Saccharomyces cerevisiae S288C: one gene and its partner. The gene in region 2 interacts genetically with the main gene of each other region. Each region holds a gene or a part of one and is shown on either strand. Other genes may lie near its edges.

Region 1 (12,828 bases), on a different chromosome or scaffold from region 2:
GTCGTTTTTTAGCATCATTACTTGTTTTGTGGCGAATATAGAATAGGACTGTATCTGAGAATTATTACTCAAATATGTTCGATTTTAGAGGATTACCATTTCAACAGATCGTCCTTAGCATATAAGTAGTCGTCAAAAATGAATTCAACTTCGTCTGTTTCGGCATTGTAGCCGCCAACTCTGATGGATTCGTGGTTTTTGACAATGATGTCACAGCCTTTTTCCTTTAGGAAGTCCAAGTCGAAAGTAGTGGCAATACCAATGATCTTACAACCGGCGGCTTTTCCGGCGGCAATACCTGCTGGAGCGTCTTCAAATACTACTACCTTAGATTTGGAAGGGTCTTGCTCATTGATCGGATATCCTAAGCCATTCCTGCCCTTCAGATATGGTTCTGGATGAGGCTTACCCTGTTTGACATCATTAGCGGTAATGAAGTACTTTGGTCTCCTGATTCCCAGATGCTCGAACCATTTTTGTGCCATATCACGGGTACCGGAAGTTGCCACAGCCCATTTCTCTTTTGGTAGAGCGTTCAAAGCGTTGCACAGCTTAACTGCACCTGGGACTTCAATGGATTTTTCACCGTACTTGACCGGAATTTCAGCTTCTAATTTGTTAACATACTCTTCATTGGCAAAGTCTGGAGCGAACTTAGCAATGGCATCAAACGTTCTCCAACCATGCGAGACTTGGATAACGTGTTCAGCATCGAAATAAGGTTTGTCCTTACCGAAATCCCTCCAGAATGCAGCAATGGCTGGTTGAGAGATGATAATGGTACCGTCGACGTCGAACAAAGCGGCGTTAACTTTCAAAGATAGAGGTTTAGTAGTCAATCCCATTCCGAATATTGTTTTTATTGTTTTATGTTTTTCCACTGATCTGGTAAACACTAGCTGGTTGGCGCTATTAATATGAAAAGAGTTAGACCAAATTGAGTAGAAAAGAAACCTTTGGCAATCCTAACTATGTTGTTTTAGCTTGTGTATTTAAGCGCATATATATATATTTCTGAAAATGACAACATCAAAAGAAACGAACTTATTTAGAATAAAAAGAAACGACTTGGCTTCTTATTATTCCTACTTTACGTCACGTGGGAGGCCCGTTTAGGGGGGCAGCTATGTAGTTTTTCCGAGCGTACTTTCTTTCAGCATCCGAAAAGTCCTCACTTGACGGCTTACACGGAAACGCCGCGGATTGTGGGGCACAGATGATGACGCAGACGGAACACTGCAGAAATCTTTTTACCTTGTCGTTAAAGACGATATTAGAGAGAAGAGTTTGGCTGGGGACAAAGTGCCAGCTTTTCGTTCAGGGCGAGGTGCCAAAATACTTGAGAAGGCCAAACCCCAAAGGACAGGGCCAAATACGTACGCTACGGTAATATCTAATGGGAGAGGGTATAACATTGACCATTTTCGAAGGAGGCATAGGAATTTAGACGCTGATGGATGTTATCAATATTGAAGTTTTTCACCGTTTCCCTCTTTCTCTGCTCCTTTAAAGAACGCAAAGTCTCCTCTTGAGAGAAAGCAGACGATTGGAATTGGTATCTTTCACGTAGCATTGCTTAACCTACGGCCATATTAATGATATGAAGTCATATGAAAATGGCCGAGGCCAGCGGTTCATTCGAGGATATATATTTTATTACCCGGCGTCTCTAGCCGAAGTAAGAAAACACAATGCAACCAGCGTTGGTGGAAGGGCGTGATAATGCTGAATGGGAGAAGAAAGTTGAATAGTGACTCTTCAAATGTGTCCTTTCAGGATGCGCTACTTTCAGAAGTTACAAAGATATCTGTATATTGAATAGAATTTTTTTCACCACTAGAATTGTTCTTGGAGCCAGCACAAGCACTTACAATGGCAGATTATTCTTCCCTTACTGTTGTTCAATTGAAAGATTTACTGACCAAGAGAAATCTGTCTGTAGGCGGATTGAAGAATGAACTAGTTCAAAGACTGATAAAGGACGATGAAGAATCAAAGGGTGAAAGTGAAGTTTCTCCACAGGAACAAAACCAGGAACAAGGGTCAGAACCTGCGGCGATAGAAGAACCAGCCTCCCAGAACATTACTGAAAAAAAGGAAGTTTCAAGCGAGCCTAAAGAAACAAACGAACCCAAGGAGGAAAATAAGGACGTTCAAAAGCCCTCTGATGGACCTTCTGCTACTGCTTCAGAGAACGAACAAGCTGCTGCTTCCACTGCTGCTCCCGCTTTGTCACCAGAAGAAATTAAGGCCAAAGCATTGGATCTTTTAAATAAGAAACTGCACCGCGCTAACAAATTCGGTCAAGATCAAGCGGATATTGACTCTTTACAAAGACAGATAAATCGTGTGGAGAAGTTTGGTGTTGACTTGAATAGCAAGTTGGCTGAAGAACTGGGCCTTGTCAGTAGGAAAAATGAACCTGAAAGTGGCAATAACGGTAAATTTAAAAATAGAAACAAAAATGCAAACAACCGCTCCAGAGTAAGTAAAAACAGGAGAGGCAACCGCTCTGGTTACAGAAGATAAAGGCTCAAGCCGTTTTGGTGGAGTTTTTCATTCTAGTTTCGGTTCTTTCCCACTTTTTAAACGACCGCAGTTGTTTGTATATGAAGGTGCAAAATTTGTTGCATACGTAAACATGTGTAGATTATTCTAAATAAATCTGTGTTATTAAATCCGAAGAGTCGGCGGTTCACTGTATTACACATACAGTGGCTGTCAACGTTGTAAAGTGCTAGTAGAGAATGAGCGGCGAGATTTACAGACTGAACATTCTTGTACAAGTTACAATGATGATAGAGGAAAAATAAGCTATGATAAATAGTTCATAGTAATGCAGGTGGGGATGATGCAAGCGGGCCTATTTATTTTGAAATAGTACTGAATGGTTTGGAAAAGGTGGAATTTTCAATCTGCAACGATATCGCGCTCAACATCTTTAACCTGTCATCATCGTACGTATTTGGGACTTCAATTGAAGGCAATGTAATGATAGTGCTATCTGCCGATGTGCTTGACCTCGTCACTCGAGGCTCTTCTTTACCGGGAGTGCTTGCATCTTTCGTTGAAGAATGTGCACTCAAGACCTCAGATGTGGAGTGTGGCCTCATTGGATTGGACTGTTTATTACTACAAACCAAGGGATATTGATGGAGTGTCATGTGATAGATAATTTCGTTGATTGGTGCCAAAGATGCATCAAACCCATAATCTTTGACAAGAGATCCCAGTATGAGATTCAGCACTCTCACCTGAATTTTTTCTTGTGATAGGTCAGCGAATAGTTGACGTGTAGCGGGCATAAATAGCCTTTGCGATAGAATAGTCAAAAATTCGATTGATGACAGCCGTTCAGTAAGATATTGCTTAGTAGAAGACGGTAAATGTGAAAAGCTGTTTTCTACCACAAGGGAAATGGAAGCCATTAGTGAATTTTTGCCCAGCGTTTCTAGATTAGCAAAAGAATCCAAATTTCTTTCATCCTTAGACATCTCCAAGCACGTCCTTGAGTTATGTATCTTTGACAGGATGAGTTTTCTCAAGTTGTTGGATATTACAACTTTGCTTTGGCACCCTTTTTTTTTCGTTAAATTTGGTCTAATGAACTTATCTCTTTGAATTTGTTCAGGTAGTGGAATAGCATTATTTACAATTTCAACAATTATTGATTTGGCAATAAAGTCGTATTCTTGTTCACTTTCTAGAGGCTGATCTTCTATATCAAACTTTTGTAATTTTTCATCGCCGCCGTGCGCATACGGTGCCGATGGATCACGAAGAAGAGATGCGTTCTTCTTAAGTAAAGAGCGAACTTGAGTTGGTACAGGTGGAAGAGTGCGGCCATTCGGATAAGGTAACAATTTTTGTGATGTTATAGTATTAAGAGAAGGAAGAGCGTGCTCAGCAGGTTCTTCCTTCACGCTGGCTTCTTCGTCAGAGCTTGATGCATTGGAAGCTGAACAAGACCCCATATTACTTGAGCTGGGGGGAGACAAAGGAATTTTTTGAACTTTACCACGGGCTATTTTCTTCTTAGAGTCTAATAATTTTTTCTTGGAACGTTTCCTGTTTCTTCTCACCGATTGAACAGCAGCGGTAACCAACTTTTCAAATTCTGCCGAAAACGTATCAGGGTACTCAAATTCACTCCTTAATATGGTGGCTATTTGTCTTATATTATCATCTTGTTCACTTGCTTTGTGCTGGCTCAAGCCAAATGAGTCAATGAGTTCTAGTCTTCTGCTAGAAAACTTCTTCCATTTCTTTTCATCATTAAAGTTTAACTGAGCTCTGATTTTATGTGTAGTACCATAGCCCGTATACTTTCCTGTTTTATGGCTACCTTCCAAATGAATTTTGGAGTTCTCAGTATCGTCAATCATCTTGCAATTTTTACTCTGACTGTTGCTGTTTTTTTTGCTGAGATATTTTCCGGTTAAGATGTTTGAATATGCTAAAGGTAATATACAGCTAGAGAAATATGAAAAGCAAGAATATAAAAATAGAACAGGAGCACTTAGTTCGGTTTTTTGCCATCATGTTTAATATATATATATATATATATATATATATATATATATGTGCGTGCGTGTGTGTGTGTGTGTGTGTGTACATGTATGCGGCAGCTAAAAGATGACGAGTACCTTCTAACGGCCATGTTATTTTCTACAGAAAGCATCTCACTTTGAGCGCCCAGAAAAAAGAAAAGGGAGAACAAAGTGATTAATTTTGCCTCTCGATTACATTATGAGGTGGCACTATTTGTCACATTTTATGTTTTTCATCCCGCACTTGGCTTTCATGAGAAAAGCATGTAGGACGCTTGAGTTTGGCATGCGAGAGAAGAGGCGTGTCAGAAAAAAAAACGCCTTTTGCTCTTGAGAAGAGCGGCAAAAATTGCCGAACAGGTGGAATTTCTCGACCAAAGGTGGGGTAAATATCGGTTACCCGTTTGCGAGTTCCTTTACAGTCTCAATGATTTCCAAGATGACTAAGGGAATATTTTCCATGGTGCCTTTTGCCTCGCGTACACTCACGGCACTAATGGGCGATACGATACTATGATTGTGTTCGGGATTAGTTCGATTCAATCATTCGCGCACGAGGCATGGACAGAAATGGCACTGATTTTAGTCACCGAGTCAACAAAAATGAGGCGACTCGATCAAAGATGTTTATTGACTCGTTTTTGCAACTAGAGAAAGGCATTCTTGCACGGAGAGAATGTTGACTTTAGTTGGAGTACCATTAGAGAGATGCCATTAGAGAACATTGTACTGCAGTAACGATGAGTTTAAGTTTTTAAGTACGCATGTTTATATATGAAAAAAATATACATTGAGATTACGAATATATATACTTGTCAGGAAATGCCGGCAGTTCTAATGGTTAATCCTTGTCCTATTTCTTTACGCCATTTTCTTTGAATTGATCTTCTGTGACACCGGTTCCCATAGCAGCTGTTGCGCTAACACCACCTTGAGCTAACTTCAATAACCCATCGATGTACTCCGCACCAGACCATTTTTGATGTTTCAACACATCAACACCATCGTCCATTTCCCTCTGCTGAACATTCTGGGCATAAGCTTTCATCCCATCCTTGGCAAAGTCACGAGAGAAGTTATGGACAGCTAAAGCGTTAGTGTGTAAACCGGCCAATGTGATAAATTGCCAGATGTAACCTAGATCACCCAGCCTTTGGATGAAGGTGTGTTGTTCATCAACGGACATGGCTTTTGGCCAGTTAAAGGATGGAGACAAGTTGTAAGCTAGCCATTGGTCAGGGAATTTCTCTTTAACACCTTCTGCAAACTCCTTGGCCTGTTGGAAGTCTGGGTAGTTAGATTCCATCCATACCAAATCAGCATATGGAGCAAATGCACGGGCCCTCATGATAGAACATTGCGTCCCACCTCTGTAACGGTACAACCCTTCCCTTACGCGTGGTAGCTCCCAGTCGAAGAAAATTTCGTGGCCAAGAATTTCTTTAGCGAGCTTCTTGGCTTCTCTGTGGGATGTTTCAGTCAATGGACCCACTTTAGAGGTGAATTTCTTAATCAATTCTTGCTTATTTGACAGGGCTGATCTTTCAATTTCATCAATGACGGCTTCATGGAATAACTTGAGTCCAGCGTCTCTACACCATTTTTGTTCAATGTCAGCTAGTTCTTGTCCTGATGCACCACTCATGATGGCATCATTTAAAACTTCGGCAAATGGCTCGATATTTGGATTGGTGGCACCGACAATGAAATAATGATCTCTGGTATCGATGGTTGAGCTAATCAAAGTGGCTGCTTCTGAATCAGTCCTAGCAACGACAATTAAGTCAGAATGCATGATATCAGCACACATTCTAATAGTCACCAATCTGTTAACATGTTCCTGAACGGGTATAACACATCTTCCTGCCATATGCCCACATTTCTTATTTGTAGATGTCTGGTCTTCCATGTGGATCCCAGCAGCACCACGCTCAATGAACATCTTGGTCAATTTGAAGACTGCGGTTAAACCGCCGTGGCCTGCGTCTGCATCAGCGACAATTGGTGTTAGGTAGTCAATTGGGGCACCCATCTCATCGAGTTCTTCCTGAGATTTAGCCTTTGACCGTGCCTCTAGTTGTTTTCTGTCGTGAAACAATTGGGCCTTGAACAAATGTTCCACTTTGTTTGGAACGGTGTCCATTGGATAATCAGCTAAGTCTGGACCAGGTTCATTTGAGGTGGAAGCAGTTGATGAACACTGCCAACCAGAAATATAGATTGTGTCTAAGTATTTTGCCATTTGAGAAATCTGGACAGGATCTAGGGCACCGAAAGTTTTAGAGACTGTACCCTCATTGTGATGCTTCTCTAATACCTTGAATAATTTTCTGGCCATGACCGAAGATGGGTATTCGATTGGTGGGAATGTCCCGCGTCTAACAGCAATATCTCTGGCTGAATAATTTCTCTTAGTCTTACTCCAACGTGAGTCAGACCACCATTTCTCAATTTCGGCAGCATCTGCATCTAGTTTTGCTTGTAAAGCTGCAAAATCGTTCTTCGTATTTCCAACGGGGATAGGCATTTTTCGTTGACTTTTTGTTATGTTATGCTAAGAGTTTTCTCTCAATTGTTAGGTATTTGGGTGTGAAAAGAAAAAAAGGATAAGATGAAATTAGCAAGCCAAGACAAATAATAAGAATTTTGCCAGTGAAGCAGCTCCTTTATATAATAAAGAAACGTTTTGTGAATTCCGATGTGCCTGGTTAAGGGCGGACTTTGGACTGACTTATGCTTTTCTCTTTTGCACCAATATTGAGTCACATACTGGGATGCTAGTCCGGACTATGGATATTTTCTTCTGTAAAGGGTAGTGAAAGATGACGTTGAGTGTTAATTTTGTGGTGATTGGCTTCAGTTTTGATTGTTTCGGATGAAATGAAAAAGTGACGAAGTCAGATAAGTGATCGCTCGGATGAATGGAAACCTGGGGCAAAAGGGAACAGTTTTTCTCATCGGATGACGAGTAGCAAAACCCGACCGCCCAAAGCATCCGGGTTACGAGATATTTACTTTTCAATAAATAGATTCAATTATTATTATTTTCTCGAGACATATTACTGACACAAGAAATTTCCTATGGGAGCTTGATTTAGTTTTTCCTTCTAACATTGTCATTTTAACTGTGTTGCCTTCCCTTGCTCGCAACTATGCTACGCTATATTGTACTCTTGAATTTTATTTATGTTTTGTTCCCAGCGGGCATCTTTCAATAAAATGAACTCAAGAAGAAGTAAATAATAACAAGCTATAATGGGTGGCCATTTGTGATCAAATTTGGAGTGAAACACGTATGATTATGTTTGAACTCTCTTTCTTTGATACGAAACCTCAAGCGACGTAGGTGATGGATATATTCACAAGATAACAAAGGCCGTGTTACAACATTAGATATGTAAACAACGTGCTAGAAGTTCTCCTCGAAGATCTCGAAATCTACAAAAGGGAATCGATATTTTATACATAATCCTATTATTATTTTTTCTTCCATTTTATATGCTCACTCATTATCCTTTACATTTCCAAAATCATGCATTTCAGCTTCCATTAAATTTTGATGGCTGTCTCTTAATTTTGTTATCTTTCTTTATGTCATCCTCTTACAGAGTATATGGTAATATACTAGTAATATGATTAATAGTCGATAAGTGAGTGTGAATTTTTATTCCGAAAAATATATGACGATGATCACACTATATTTTCTAGAAATAACTTAAACCATAGTGAATAAGAATCTGTAGTGCTCCTTGAGAACTAATGAAATTGCGCTAAAAACAAACCTAGTTAACATAATGTTTAGGCCAGGAAGAATCTAAATACAAACCTTATCAGTCCCAGCGTACGCGTCATTTACATTTGCGTATTGAAAATGAAAAAAAAATAATTCATTTGAAGCACTACTATTACAAAATTTATTCCAGCCCAACATTCAGTTTGGAAGCATCAAACGGCCTTCGACCATATGAAGATATTCCAGTAAATATGGTCTCCAAGCAGTTCAACTACTTTTCATGAATGTAGCATTTTCAAGGCACCTCTAACAATAAAAAAAACGACACCAGCAGGATTTGAACCAGCGCGGGCAGAGCCCAACAGATTTCAAGTCTGTCGCCTTAACCACTCGGCCATAGTGCCTATCATTATGAATTTCCCAAAAAAGAACCACTATCAGAGACATATAAAAATAAGAACACATCCACCGATATCTGTTACAATGAAACCCTAAAATATCATCCATTTGGGGTAGTATTCATGCTACCAGTATATCCTGTATGCGTAATATTATAGCCTTTTCCAACAGTGCACCCAAATATAATCACAAATCACCCAATTCTCAAATTCACTTGTTAAAATGAAAATACCAAAGCCTCATCATACCGTTCTATTGTCCATCTCCAACACAAAAGTACCATAATAATTTTCCGATTCGACACGAATACAGATAGATGGGCACATGGCAAACTTAGCTCAGTATGGGCTTGTAGGTTGTAAACGAGTCAGAAATTTCAACAATAAAAAATACATCAGATAGTGTTTCGATGTTCTTAATTACACGTGAATTATCAAAAACCATCAACATACCAGCCAACATCAGTGTAGGTGGAATAAAACTTTCTTACCATGTACAGTAAATGGACCATGACGCCGTGCACAAGCTTATGCATAATGAGCTAAGCGGGAAGACATTTTCAAACTACGTGATAGTTCCGACTGCCCTTTCAATTGCTAATGTAGCAATATGTTAGGAATGCAATATTCCAAAATGCTGTCTGTGTCAGTGAGAATAACAAAAACATTGAATAAACTTTTCTATGGTAATAACCACGCCAGATAAGGGCGTTGCCATCGTTTTCATTTTTTTTTTTTTTTCAAATGGTGGGGTCACCGTTGTGAAAAGAAACCTTTGATTCTCAACCATATCGGTACTCGGACTAATCACTTAAATCTTTCCAAGGGATTATCGAGAATGTCATAGTGCAAAATAATCTTAGCTTTCAATAATTTTTTCATTTGGAGTCACACTCCCGTTAAAACCTAGTCAACGGCTTCCACTTAAAGCTATCAACAAGGGGCAATTGATTTTGCATTTTCGTCTAAATGAAAGTTGCAGCCAGCAATTTACCCGAAGTTTAAATAAATCAATGCAAACCATGTTCAACTTAAACAGCAATCGCTTTCTATTACCTTGGAATTATATCAGAACGTCTATCTGCGAAGCTTTAATAAAGTACTGGAAGTTGTGTCTGAAATGTCTGTTTTGGTAAATTTGTTTGATCCTGATTATACACCTCAAAGGACCACGTTAAGTGGCCATATGACGAGTGTTATTGCGTGCTTGCAAGTTGAAGATAATTATGTCATTACAGGAGGATGTGATAAAACGATCAGAGTTTATAACTTAGTAAATAAAAGATTTCTTTTACAACTATCAGGTCATGATGGTGAGGTTTGGGCATTGAAGTATGCCCATGGCGGTATTTTAGTCAGCGGTTCTACAGGCAGAACGGTGCGAGTTTGAGATATTAAGAAAGGTTGTTGTACCCATGTGTTTAAAGGTCATAACTCTACGGTGAGGTGCCTAGATATAGTAGAATATAAAAATATCAAGTACATTGTTACTGGTTCGAGAGATAACACTTTGCACGTTTGGAAATTGCCCAAGGAGTCCTCCGTTCCTGATCATGGGGAAGAACATGATTATCCATTAGTCTTTCATACCCCTGAGGAGAACCCATATTTTGTTGGTGTTTTAAGAGGACATACGGCGACTGTAAGAACTGTCTCAGGCCACGGTAATATTGCCATTAGTGGCTCCTATGATAATACATTGATTGTGTGGGATGTTGCGCAAATGAAATGTCTATATATCTTGAGTGGACATACGGATCGTATTTATTCGACAATCTACGATCATGAAAGAAAAAGGTGCATCTCTGCCAGTATGGATACCACTATTAGAATTTGGGATTTGGAAAATATAAGGAATAATGGAGAATGTTCCTACGCAACAAATTCAGCATCGCCATGCGCCAAAATACTTGGTGCTATGTACACTTTGCGGGGTCACAGAGCCCTAGTCGGTTTATTGGGATTATCCGATAAATTTTTAGTCAGTGCTTCTGTAGACGGTTCAATAAGGTGTTGGGACGCTAACACTTACTTTCTGAAGCACTTTTTCGATCACACGCAGTTGAATACAATCACCGCATTGCACGTTTCTGATGAGGTATTAGTGAGTGGATCTGAAGGTTTGCTCAATATTTATGATTTAAATAGTGGGCTGTTAGTCCGTTCAGATACATTGAGTGGTGCTGATAATGTTTGGAACGTTAGTTTTAAGGACAACACACTTGTGGCAGCGGTAGAACGAGACAAGCGAAATCTTTTAGAAATTTTGGACTTTAGTTGAAGATTGATGTGAGAATGATGCAGAACTTACCTTGTCACGTTTGGAACTCAGTTGTACTTTTTCGGTGTAAACAAATATAAAACTTTAGAATTTACATTAATAAGTTATGTGCTATTTATTAGTTTAATATATCAACATTAATTACATGCGAGCTATGTATTATTAGCTCAATCAGCAGGACTAAAATCGAGGAAAAAGTAATTTTGTTTATGCCCAGTTCAGTTATCGTCCATTTGTAGCAAATGTGGTACAAGTTGACCCATATTTTCATGCATTGGGCCATGCAGTAATTATCACACTCACTTTGTCATAATGTATACAATGGCCGCTTATTTGCGACTCGTCTCATATTTTTCCTGAAACTGTAGCTGTGTGTAATATTATTCATTAACTTCGATAATTCGGCTACAGAAGACAAGAGCTACATCCTTACTGGTGCGAATAAATGACATAATCTGTCAAGAGTACCGAAGTAAAAGCAACGATTGCCGAACACATCTTCCTGAAGTATCATATGCCAATACAAGGTTTCAATAGGAATTATGAAAGCGGCATTATCACCCTTAATCTGAAATATGTAATGATGACGGTGCAGTATGTTGACTACATTGTAAAGTTGCACTTTCACTCAACTCATGAAATTGATGACATTAATCCTACGTGACTTACACATATGCCATGAACGAAGAAGGTGGCACCAAAAATCCAGCGTTTCCGATATACACGCAGTCAAATGTTCAGACTAAACTTTGGTATTCTGACAACGTGTTGTCATACCTGTTACGAGCCAGAAACGTATTTCTTTTTGGGTGATACAATCTCCAGATGACTGCTTTTTTTTTTTTTACCCCAGATTCAGGGGCCGAAGGAACGGAAATGCGGTGTGGCGAGATTGCGGATGTGCTAAAAAATAATATCCTCGAGGCAACCAGCATAATGTGGACGGCTCTCGGCAATTGACTTCCATAACAAATGCATCCTGTAATCAGGGGTATTATAAGTTACTGTATGGTTAATTAAATATAGAATGAAAGGGGCAGCGTTCTTAAGGGGTATTGCTGGGTGGAAAAATACAAGTGTCTTTACTTGATTGTGTGCACATATATAAGGCAAAAGATTTCTAGCGTATATTTGAATCTTTTGTTCTTCCACGTTCAAATTTCTTTGGTCAAAACATTTCATAAAGGGACAAGTTCTGCATTGTATTCTAATAATTGCCCATAGAACATATAAATTAGGTATCGACTGTTTTCGTCTCCACTTTAAATGACAAAGAAGGATAAGAAGGAAGTAAAAGTTCAAACGGTTACCACGGAGGATGGTGAAACCGTGAAAGTTTTTGAAGACCTGCAGGGTTTTGAAACTTTCATTGCCAATGAAACTGAAGATGATGATTTCGATCATTTGCACTGTAAATTAAATTACTACCCACCATTTGTGCTACACGAGTCGCACGAGGACCCTGAAAAAATTAGTGATGCTGCAAATTCTCATTCTAAGAAGTTCGTGCGTCACCTGCACCAGCATATTGAAAAGCATCTTTTGAAAGATATTAAGCAAGCCGTTAGGAAACCTGAGCTTAAATTTCACGAAAAATCGAAGGAAGAGACATTTGATAAAATCACCTGGCATTACGGTGAGGAAACTGAATACCATGGTAGACCTTTCAAGATAGACGTTCAAGTAGTTTGCACACATGAAGATGCTATGGTATTTGTCGATTACAAAACACATCCTGTAGGCGCAAATTAAAGGTTGTGTCATAGAGAATGTGTTAGTACTGAATCCTAACCTCCCAAATTCATAAGTAGTTTTATGTACCTTTAATGATTTACGATTAGCAACTTTTTGAATTTTTTTTATTGA
Region 2 (11,639 bases):
AGTTCCACTGCAAGTCGAGTATATTTCGGCAGACAATGTCATTCAAATATCTTGCCTACACTAAGAAATATGTCTCTCTTCTACAAATGTTCAAGTTAGGACATGCCGTAAATATGAAAATATTTGAGCAGATCAACCTTTCTAGAGTTTAAACATTGAAGTTTCCAATGGTCTGATACAAGCAAGCAATATGATTTAAAGAACTCCTTAATAACAACTGCTACAATTACTTTAGCTAGCTAGTACAGCAGGCAATAGGCATTTAACGCTTACACCTATTTTGCCTGTCTTTTTTTTTTTCTGACCTATTTTCGGCTCTTCTGCAGCTATTTTTCTTCATTTTTCCAATCCTAATCCGGAAAACTGAAGAAATTTACATCTTGGTGAATGCACTCTCCTCCGAACGCGTCTGAATAAATGATGTAACCTTAAAACTTTAAAAATAATGCGGATAACCTAAACAACCCTCTTAGATAAACATCAAGAAGTAACATGCTCATAAATACGTCTCGAATGATTCTAGTATTTAAAAAGCACGGAAGGAACGCCTTGAGAGGACGGAACAAGGCAATGGTTGCAGGCGATAAAGAATCAAGAGGCAACCCTCAAGCTTCCAGCCAGTGGAAGAAAACAGAGATGAAAGAAAAGGAGTGAAGTGCTTGCATAGAAGAGCAATACGTGGCAACAAAGTCCCGAACTTGCCTAAAAAAGCATAATTTAATTACATTTATTTAACTTTATTGCTCCTTCTTTCAAAAGTCGGAAGCGCGCGAGTAAAAAAAATTACAGAGCGAAGGAGAGGCGAAGGATAGATGGGGAACGAAATTATTGTTTTATTTTTCCTTTTTTGTTGGAATGTTAAGCGGATCCTTGCTAAAAGATCTGCTCTACTTTCTTACATTTGAAATTTTTAAAGTTTTCTCAAAAAAAAAAAAAAAATTGGAGAACAAGCGCAGCCGGAATGAAAAAGGCCATAATTTATGTTAAATTAATCATAAGAAAAATTGATAATAGCAAACATAGCTTGTGATTCTTTTTCTTTCGGTTTGTGAAATAATTGCATTCTTCCCCCTTGTATCTAGTATGCAAAAATATGGAGAATGTTCGTTCTTCCCTACGTTCACTGAATGTTCCTTGGTATCAACAGCGGTAACAGTTTGTTCAGTTGGATGCGATGTGTTCTGTTGAAAATAATTCAGTAAGATGCTGGTTTAGTGGCGACTTCACCTTTCGTGATTATAGGTATACTCTTGGGAATTATGCTGGACGTCAGAGAAGTTAAGGTCGATGATGTATTCGTAGTCTCTTGAAGGGGTAGGGCAGTTGTTTTAACAGATTGCATAGACATCCATTTACTTTCAAGTTGAATGATTTCCTCCTTGGAATTCTGTAATAGGGATAAGCTTGTTCGAAGGTCTTTGTTCATGGCATCATTAGTTAGAGTTTTATTTTCATCTTGCGATGCGCTGTTAATATGTTTTTCTATCAAATCAGTGATTGTTGATAGAGAGTTCTTTAAAGTTTGTATATGGTTATCCAAAGCTTGCCTTTCACTTATATTGCTTTTTTTGGGTAGTGTTACATTATTATTACAAACTCCTAAAGCAGGTGAGTTAGAAGCAGAGTTCGAAAGAGAGTTCATCATTGAGGGAAATGGAGTGGAGTAACTGCTATATGGCGGGACTGTAGGGAGCGGTTGCTGCTGCTGCTGCTGCTGCTGGGCAAAAGCTCCAGGATGATACGGCATTGGGTAATTAACAATTGGCAAGGAAGTTGTTTTCAGATCATCTGTCGAAGATAGTGTTCCTGATTTCTTCATCGGAGGTCCAGATAATGCTTGTGGAGAAAGTACTTGTTGCGGCTGCTGAGGCTGGACTATGCTATCTTGGGTGGAAAATTGATTGGGATAGTCATAAGAATTCATCATCCTCGCCGAGATGCTTTGCCTTCGCATCATGTTCACCGTGGGTTGTTGAGGGGGCAGTGAAGATATTAGGTAAGGTCCACTACTTTGTTGCTGTTGCGGTATACTGATATGTGGAGGACTTTGGGATGTTGAGTAATGGACGGGACTGCCCATAAACATGTTTGATGGTTCTCTTGCAGAAACTGGTCCGGATTGCTGAGAGAGAACATTTAACCTCGAAGCATCAACGTAACTGACAGATATTGGTGACAGTATATTCTTTCTTTTACCATCTTTTCCCACACCAGTGCTCTTTCTTTGGATTTTATTCAAGATACCGGCGTTGGCCTCTTTGAAGAAGAATCCAGATGGGTGGGTAAATTTCCATTCAACAAGTTCTTTAACGTTACCATTGTTGGCAGAAGATTGGTCTGGGGAAGGATGAGATAGTTTATGAAACCCGTACATGTGTAGTTGACGAACAAAACTATTGACATTTCCATGTTTGAAATAACGCTTCAGAACATGTGTACTAAAATTAGGGTCATATGGCTTCAAAAAAAATACCGTGTTATCAGTCGGAGACCAGTATATCCATTTATTTACTTCCGGTTCCAGAAGAATTGCATGAAGTTGGTGGACGAAAGTTTTAGGTTGCATGTGGCCACCGGTTCTCTGAGCTATTGTATTTTATGGCGTGGGTGAAAATTCAATATAGGGGTTACAGCTGCCTAACCTTAAAGCGTGTAAAGGAGATCTAGATCTTCTGCAATGATCAGCTACTACCAATATATATATATTGGAAAAAAAGGTAAGTAACGACGTATCAAGATAAAACCCCAAAGGAAGAAAGATGCAACCGAAAGGAAAGCATGGAAAACTTCGAGCTATTCACTACCTGATTACTTCAACGTTAATGAATACCCTAAACGTGATAAGTTTGTGCTTTTCCTTCGATATGGATATCTACTGCCTTCCATTTTCTGCTCTACGGGTCAACAACTGAAAGATTATTTTTTCGGTTCCTCCTTTTTCTTCTCGAAAAAAAGCTTAAATCTTTCAAAGACAAAAAAGAAAGATTGCACCAAATCAGCGCAGAAGGCAGCAACCAGAGAGACGGGGGCGCAGAGTCAACATCATATACGTAACAAGTTGTTCAGGGCGGATCGCTTCACGTCATACAAAGGCGCGGATATGCACTAATCTGCAAATCTCGCAGTCACCGTAAGCCCAAGCCAAAGCGAACCATCGGTGCTAAATCGGCCCGCCCGACTGAGACGCACAGATTCCTACGCAGGCTCTCCTTGTGCCGCCCACGGAGTATTCCGTTCACCCAAAAAAAAATAAAAAACGAAAGGGGCAGACCAGGGGCAGACCAAAGGAGGGGAATTACCGGCGTGGCTAATATTCCTTATTTTGCTTAGAGCACCTTCCGTTCCGCCGCCGCTGCTTCCTAATCTGGGGCCAGGAAACGTCTGCGGCGGGCCAGATTCATTCTCGAGCCAGGAGAACTGCGTAGCTTGCGATAAAGGGGCGAAATTAACCCTTCCATGCAGCTGGCCCGAAGCAATTTTATATTTCGTGTGCTCGCCAAAAAAAAAAACCCTGCTGCGTCCCTTATTCTATTTCCATGGAAATTTCCGTTAGCGCTGTTTTGCAGGTGGTTCCGAGTCATAGCATTAAGATTAACGCGTTGTAACGGTATCACCGGGTGAGCTATGTTTTTCTTTTAAGTTATGCAACCTTCGCGGAGGCTCGGTTGCTTACGGAACTTTTAAGGTTGAGTTTGCCTTCGGTACCCCTTTCCTTTCTGCTGTCAATTCTTCTAGAAGAACTGGGTTTATGCTTCGGGAGTAAGCTCCAACATACGCTGTAAAGAAGACAGTTGTCATTTATTTATTATTATGTAATGTAATTAAGGTTGTCTGTCGTGATTAACGGAGCCAGTTTCGTATAAAGACGAGTGTAATTAGCAGTTTTCAGGAATCAAGGCGCCAGCTTCGTCGTCGAGAAACCAAGTTACTTTGGTTCCGACCATTTCATTAACCAGCACACTAGGTAGTTCGCTATTTTTTACGATTAACACGTCATGCATGATAGCCTTTTTAGCAGCTCCCCTAACGAGAAAGCACACACTTTTAGCCTCGGCTACTACTGCTAATGTAAAGGTGATCCTGTCCTTGGGTGCCTTGGGCGAATTATTACACCATAAAACCTTGCGGTCCATCTCTTCTACAAGGTAATTAAATTCAACCCCGGGAAACAACGAGCATGTATGTCCATCTTCTCCGCATCCGAGTAAGATTAGGTCGAATGATGCAGGCAGCATGGAAGCGTATTCTTCGGCAATCTTTCTATTGGCCGTTTCACCGCCACCGATTAATGATTCGTTGATAGTGTATACAGTGGGGCCTAAGTTCAATTGGTTGCCCTGATGCACTAGCGGGTCCAAAACTGTTTTTTTGAACTGACCATAGTTACTTTGCGGATCCTCAAATGGAACCAATCTTTCGTCACAGAAGAAGATTCTCCATTGTGGCCACTTAATATGTGGAAAAATGTTTTTGTCATTTACCAAACTTTCGTACAGCGCTTGGTTCATCGATCCTCCACTGATGGCGATATTGAACACTGCATCAGCGTCGCCCGTTAACGCCGATTCTTGCTTTTCAAGGATAAACTTGCCGAATTCGTGTATGAGGCTTTTCTTTTCGCTAAACCTTTGTAATTTCACCATTTTTCTTGAGGTGGTTGTGGATTATTTGATGAATGGCATTCTTTGTTTGGAAAACTGCTGCGATAAGACTACGTTCTTCGTCATTTCTTAAATATTATGGATCTTACAATTTTCGCTGCTTAGGGGGGGATTTTTTTAATTTTCAAGGGATTTCCATCCCTTGCGAAGGCAAGCGATCAGTATACGTAAATCTCTAACTAGAACATTTTCAAGTATTGACAGATATGAAAAAAAAAAAAAAAAAAAAAATTCTATATAATTACTTACAGTGCACATAAATGTATGCTTAAACGTCCACCCGTCCCAATACCTCCCATTCTTGAACGGGCCCCACACAGTTGACCACTTTAAACGTTCCTGGGATATTCCAAGATAGCGATGAAGATACGTCAAAATCCCATCTCATTTGCACTTCATTGGACCCATCAGCGTTTCCGGAACCCTTACGTTTCTCTCTTGGAACTAGTTGCACGTCTAGAGCATCTTCAATTCTTTGTTGAACTACTCGCAATGACGCCTGACTTACCGGATGAATATCCGAATAAAGCAATGAGACGTGAGGATGGAATTCCTCGTGCACCCAAGTGGCGGCACGGCTACTTCGCGTCTCAGGATCGATCTCTACGTACATCTCTCTCATGACTTGTGCGACCCCATAAAGTATTTTGTTCTTGTTACACTCGAGCACAATTTTCTTGAAATATTGTTTACCTACACTGCATCCATTGAAAGATACCAAAGGAGCTGCAACAGCATGGGATACCTGTCCCTTACGTCCTTTCTTTGCTGTTTGGTGTGACCTTATCGATTGGATGGCAGCAACACAGGAGGTCAAGATTTTGTTGACATCATCTTTACTATTGCACACCAAATGGGACGTTACCGTCACATGAGGTTCAAAAACTGGTGAATCTGGGAACAACGTTTGAAACGAAAATATAAGCATCTGTAATGTCTCGTAAGCAACTGATCCTTGTGGTGGACAATACCATAATGCTATTGCCATTTTTCTGTGGTTACTGATATTAGCAAATTGAAGTATCGCGAATTCCCAAACTAGAATAATTACAATTGATGGTAAAATAAAATGATAAAATAATCTGATTAGATTCTTGGTATCTCAAAAGTGACTTTGATAACTTCTTGATTGTTTGTGCCCCTGCTTACGAATTGGGTTCTTATTAAACTTCACCTGCATCGCTTCTCCATCGGATCTAACCTAAAAAAAATAAAAACCCCCCGGTAAGCACTTGATCACGCCTACAAAATCACTTAGTGAACAAAGGAAAATAGATTGTTTTTAAAGTTGTGAAGTAGTGAACTATGGCTTCCCACATACACATATATACTGATACAGATGCAATATAACATTTAGTGTTAGAAAAATTTGCTTCTATCTTGATGACATTGAATACTCTTGGACGTAAAAAAAGACATCCGATTAAAGTGGAGGTAATCTACAAGAAAAGTTGTTCTTCCCCTCATTAGAAATCTTGCAATGGTCACGGCCGTCGCTATCAAAAATCAACGAAGTGAAGTGACTCTAATTTTTGTCTATTAATGTTGCGATGGCCTTATTTGCTATTCTAAGGTTTTCGCGAAGTATCAGGTATGATAAAAAAAATCATATTTTTGATCGCATCAAGAACAATCCCAATGGTAAAAACGGTAATAAAAAAGAGTCCATAGTCATATACCAATGCCAGTGTGTAAGAACTGTCACGGAACCGAATTTGAGAGAGATCTTTCCAATGCTAACAACGATTTAGTTTGTAAAGCTTGTGGTGTTGTCTCAGAAGATAATCCTATCGTCTCTGAAGTTACATTCGGTGAAACAAGTGCAGGTGCTGCTGTAGTACAAGGTTCTTTTATCGGTGCAGGACAAAGTCATGCTGCATTTGGTGGTTCTAGTGCTCTAGAATCTAGAGAAGCCACATTGAACAATGCAAGAAGGAAATTACGCGCCGTTTCTTACGCATTACATATCCCGGAATATATCACAGATGCTGCTTTCCAATGGTATAAGCTTGCATTGGCTAATAACTTTGTACAAGGTCGTAGGTCCCAAAATGTTATCGCTTCATGTCTTTACGTTGCATGTAGAAAGGAAAAGACGCATCATATGCTGATCGACTTCTCTTCAAGGTTACAGGTGAGTGTGTATTCCATAGGAGCCACATTTTTGAAAATGGTAAAGAAATTACATATCACAGAATTGCCGTTAGCGGATCCTTCCTTATTCATTCAACATTTTGCCGAAAAATTGGATCTTGCTGACAAGAAGATCAAAGTGGTAAAAGATGCCGTAAAATTGGCTCAAAGAATGTCCAAGGACTGGATGTTTGAAGGACGTAGACCTGCAGGTATTGCCGGCGCATGTATTCTACTAGCTTGCAGGATGAATAATTTGAGAAGAACTCATACAGAGATCGTCGCAGTTTCACATGTCGCCGAGGAAACTTTACAGCAACGGTTGAACGAATTCAAAAATACAAAGGCTGCTAAACTTTCAGTTCAAAAATTTAGAGAAAATGATGTGGAAGACGGTGAGGCTAGGCCTCCCTCCTTTGTGAAGAACAGAAAGAAAGAAAGAAAAATAAAGGACTCTTTAGACAAAGAAGAGATGTTTCAAACAAGTGAAGAAGCATTGAATAAAAATCCAATTTTGACGCAAGTATTAGGAGAACAAGAACTGTCTTCCAAGGAAGTCCTGTTTTACTTAAAACAATTTTCAGAAAGAAGGGCCCGTGTTGTGGAGAGGATTAAGGCTACTAATGGTATAGATGGTGAAAATATATACCATGAAGGTTCTGAAAACGAAACAAGGAAACGCAAACTTTCTGAAGTTTCTATCCAGAACGAGCATGTTGAAGGGGAAGACAAAGAGACGGAAGGGACTGAGGAAAAAGTCAAGAAGGTAAAGACAAAAACATCAGAAGAAAAGAAAGAGAACGAATCTGGGCATTTTCAAGATGCCATTGATGGTTACTCTCTAGAAACAGACCCATATTGTCCTCGCAATTTACACTTGTTACCCACAACGGACACATACCTTTCGAAAGTTAGTGACGACCCAGATAATTTAGAAGATGTTGATGATGAGGAGTTAAACGCGCACCTATTAAACGAGGAAGCTTCTAAATTGAAGGAAAGAATTTGGATTGGTCTGAACGCAGATTTCTTACTTGAACAAGAGAGTAAACGTTTGAAACAGGAGGCAGATATTGCCACAGGTAACACATCAGTGAAAAAAAAACGTACGAGACGTAGGAATAATACTAGAAGTGACGAACCTACAAAAACTGTGGATGCAGCAGCAGCTATCGGATTGATGTCAGACTTACAAGATAAGTCTGGTTTACACGCTGCATTGAAGGCAGCTGAGGAAAGTGGTGATTTCACAACTGCTGATAGTGTCAAGAACATGTTGCAGAAGGCAAGTTTCTCCAAGAAGATTAATTACGACGCCATTGACGGTTTGTTTAGGTAACGTTTAGGTAATCAACCCTAGGAAGGAAAAAGGGAACGGAAATAAAGACGCAATACATTTGGTTTTGGCTAAAATATATAGAACATGAAGTGCAAAAGAATTAAAGGTGCATTAACTATTTAATATGTATGTGATTATATAAATCTAAAATCTCAATGTCGTAACAATCACTGTTCCATTAAAAAAACGGGTAAGGTGGAAATTTCAGTTTTTTTTTTTTTTCTTTTCTTTTGCTTGATCGGCTAAAAAATGAAAATTTTAAACTCATCTCATCGCAGATAACCATAACACGCTTAACAGATAGAACGTTCTACCACTAAAAAAACATATCAAACGTCACTTTTTTGAATAAGTAATAATAGTTAAGGAGGAAGCACAAGACGCACTGAATATACCAATCAAGGGCATCAACAATGGGTAGAAGAAGTAGAGCAGCTATGCTCCCAACAAATATCATTCTTTTACAGAATTTGGTAAAGCGTGACCCAGAGTCCTATCAAGAGGAGTTTCTTCAACAATATGCACATTATGAATCGCTAAGGGACATTTTTATGTTAAATGGGCTTGCTGGAGGTGATTCTGCAGCTGCCACTAATGGGCTCGATGTAGGAAATGGATCTTCTACAATGGCAGGTACTAACGGTACCACCATGAGCACTTCAACTTCGCAACTTATTGAATTGGTTGGCTTCGTATCTCAAGTCTGCTCATGTTTTCCTCGTGAAACTGCAAACTTCCCGTCTGAATTAAAGCAGCTTTTGCTGGAACACCATAAGTCCTTGCCATTTGAATTGAAAGAAAAAATCTTAAGTTGTTTGACGATGTTAAGGAATAAGGACGTCATTACTGCTGAGGAATTAATTCAAAGCTTATTTCCTTTATTGGTTGCTTACTCTTCCCATGGTAATTCACTCGGCGTTAATTCACACGCCAAGGAATTGAGGAAAATCATTTATACAAATTTAATTTCTTTATTAAAAAGTTGTAATACTAATGGTAAAAATCAAAAATTGAACAAATCTACGCAGGCCGTTTGCTTTAATTTGTTAGATCAACCAGATTCCCAGGGAATCTGGGCCACAAAATTAACCAGAGAACTTTGGAGACGTGGTATTTGGGATGATTCAAGAACAGTAGAAATTATGACCCAAGCAGCATTACATCAGGATGTTAAGATTGTCATGTCTGGTGTGATGTTTTTTTTGGATGCTGACAGAGAACGTGAAGAAAATTTTGAAGAAAATTCCGAGGATGAGGATGGGTTTGATTTAGATGCATTAAGGCATAAGATGCAAGTCAATAAAAAAACGGGTAGACGTGGTAAGAAGCTGGAGAATGCCATAAAAACTGTGAAGAAGAAGAAGAAGAACGGACCGGGTGCTCCTCAAGGGTATTTAAACTTCAGTGCTATCCACCTTTTGAGAGATCCACAAGGATTTGCCGAAAAATTGTTTAAGGAACATCTTTCAGGCAAAACGAAAAACAAATTTGACATGGAACAAAAAATATCTTTGATGCAGCTGTTATCAAGGTTGATTGGTACCCATAAGTTAATTGTTTTAGGAATTTATACTTTTTTTTTAAAGTACTTAACTCCGAAACAAAGAGATGTTACAAGAATTATGTCCGCATGTGCCCAAGCATGTCATGATCTTGTCCCTCCTGAAGTTATAAATGTCATGGTGAGAAAGATTGCAGACGAGTTTGTATCAGACGGTGTTGCCAATGAAGTCGCTGCTGCAGGCATTAATACCATTAGAGAAATATGCTCTCGTGCACCTTTGGCTATCGATGAGATTCTACTACAGGATCTGGTAGAATATAAGGGGTCTAAAGCTAAAGGTGTCAATATGGCTGCCAAGTCATTGATAGCGTTGTATAGAGACGTGGCACCAGAAATGCTAAAGAAGAAGGATCGTGGTAAGAATGCCGCCATGGAAGTACAAGAAGCCAAGAAAGGAGGTAAAGATTCAAAAAGACCGCAATTTGGTGCCGACAACAGTGTTCAAGGGATTGCTGGTATCGAACTGTTAGCCAAATGGAAGAAAGAACATGGTGAAGAGAGTGAAAATGAAGACGCTGATGCCAACTGGGAAGTAGATGTCGATAGCGAAGAAGACGATGTCGACGGTGAGTGGGTCACCATGGATAGTGATAAAGAATATGACGTTGATATGGAAGATAGTGACGATGAAAAAGACAATGCTAAGGGCAAGGAATCAGATTCCGATTTGGAACTAAGCGATGATGACGATGAAAAAGAAGTGAAGGATGAGCAAGAAGATGCAGATATAGATCCCGAAGCTGCCTTCCGTGAAATTGCTTCTACACGTATTTTAACTCCGGCAGATTTCGCTAAACTACAAGAATTGCGTAATGAGGAAAGCGTTGCTAAAATAATGGGTATCCACAAACAAGACAAGCGTGAAGAGTTAGTTGATGCAAGTACACTAACAGGCCCTATCAAATACAAACAGTCTCGTGAGGAAAGATTACAAAAGGTGTTGGAAGGTCGTGAAGGTAGAGACAAATTTGGTAGTAGACGCGGTAAGCGTGACAACATGCGTTCTACTACCAACAGAGAAAAAGAAAGAAGGAAGAACTTTGTTATGTCTATTCACAAGAGATCTGTTAGAGGTAAACAAAAAATGTCACTACGAGACAAGCAAAAAGTGTTACGTGCACACATCACCAAACAAAAGAAGAAGGGGTATTAGACGACATCGTAGCCATATTAATATATACATACATATACACAGATACATTCATCTCTCCAACTGTATGAGGACTTCTCTACCTTGAATGGAACACCAAAGCCAGGTAGATACTAAAAAAAACTCTTTTTATGTCTTGGTACAGAGAAAAATGCTCCAACTGGTATCGATTATGTGTTCATCGGGAATTCTCGGCTTTTCCCCGCAGCGGCGGAGTGAGTATTCTAAAAGTTGGTTGGCCTTTCAATTGCCGCGTAGTCAACATCTTTGAGGTTTTATATAAGATCGACGTTTTCCTTATCAGCACTTTGACGTTTTCTCTCGAAAAATAACAGTGACTATAGAGCGATAGTCCAGTTTTTTTGTAACTGACTTTTAGGTAGTTAGGATTAATAAGGATTGAGTCAATACAATCGAAAAAAATACTGAAGCATTGCAACTGAACAAAATGTACTCAAGAAAATCCTTATCCCTAATTTCAAAGTGTGGGCAATTAAGCAGGCTAAACGCGCAAGCTGCTTTACAAGCAAGGAGACACTTGTCAATTCATGAATACAGGTCAGCTCAGTTATTGAGGGAATACGGTATTGGTACTCCAGAAGGATTTCCAGCGTTCACTCCCGAAGAGGCTTTCGAAGCAGCCAAGAAATTAAACACTAACAAACTGGTCATCAAGGCGCAGGCATTGACCGGAGGTAGAGGTAAAGGTCACTTCGACACCGGTTACAAAAGCGGTGTTCACATGATCGAAAGTCCTCAGCAGGCAGAGGATGTTGCAAAAGAAATGCTCAA

Evidence for each region.
Region 1: mutations in SOL4 (region 2) and ICL1 together harm fitness less than expected from each alone (positive genetic interaction), as found in Saccharomyces cerevisiae (one large-scale study listed by BioGRID).

What each region holds. Positions count from the first base shown.
Region 1 is NC_001137.3:279,838-292,665, forward strand, and holds ICL1 (isocitrate lyase 1), read right to left. Parts: upstream 7,078-12,828; coding exon 5,404-7,077; downstream 1-5,403. Other genes in the region: glycerol-1-phosphatase GPP2, read right to left, coding at 93-845; THO1 (Tho1p), read left to right, coding at 1,873-2,529; VHR2 (Vhr2p), read right to left, coding at 2,868-4,385; RRT13 (Rrt13p), read left to right, coding at 10,405-10,962; RGI1 (Rgi1p), read left to right, coding at 12,229-12,714. UniProt on the Saccharomyces cerevisiae protein: Catalyzes the formation of succinate and glyoxylate from isocitrate, a key step of the glyoxylate cycle, which operates as an anaplerotic route for replenishing the tricarboxylic acid cycle.
Region 2 is NC_001139.9:978,976-990,614, reverse strand, and holds SOL4 (6-phosphogluconolactonase SOL4), read right to left. Parts: upstream 4,644-11,639; coding exon 3,876-4,643; downstream 1-3,875. Other genes in the region: MGA1 (Mga1p), read right to left, coding at 1,196-2,566; CPD1 (2',3'-cyclic-nucleotide 3'-phosphodiesterase), read right to left, coding at 4,930-5,649; transcription factor TFIIIB subunit BRF1, read left to right, coding at 6,343-8,133; SDA1 (Sda1p), read left to right, coding at 8,547-10,850; LSC2 (succinate--CoA ligase (GDP-forming) subunit beta), read left to right, coding at 11,296-11,639. UniProt on the Saccharomyces cerevisiae protein: Involved in the pentose phosphate pathway via hydrolysis of 6-phosphogluconolactone to 6-phosphogluconate.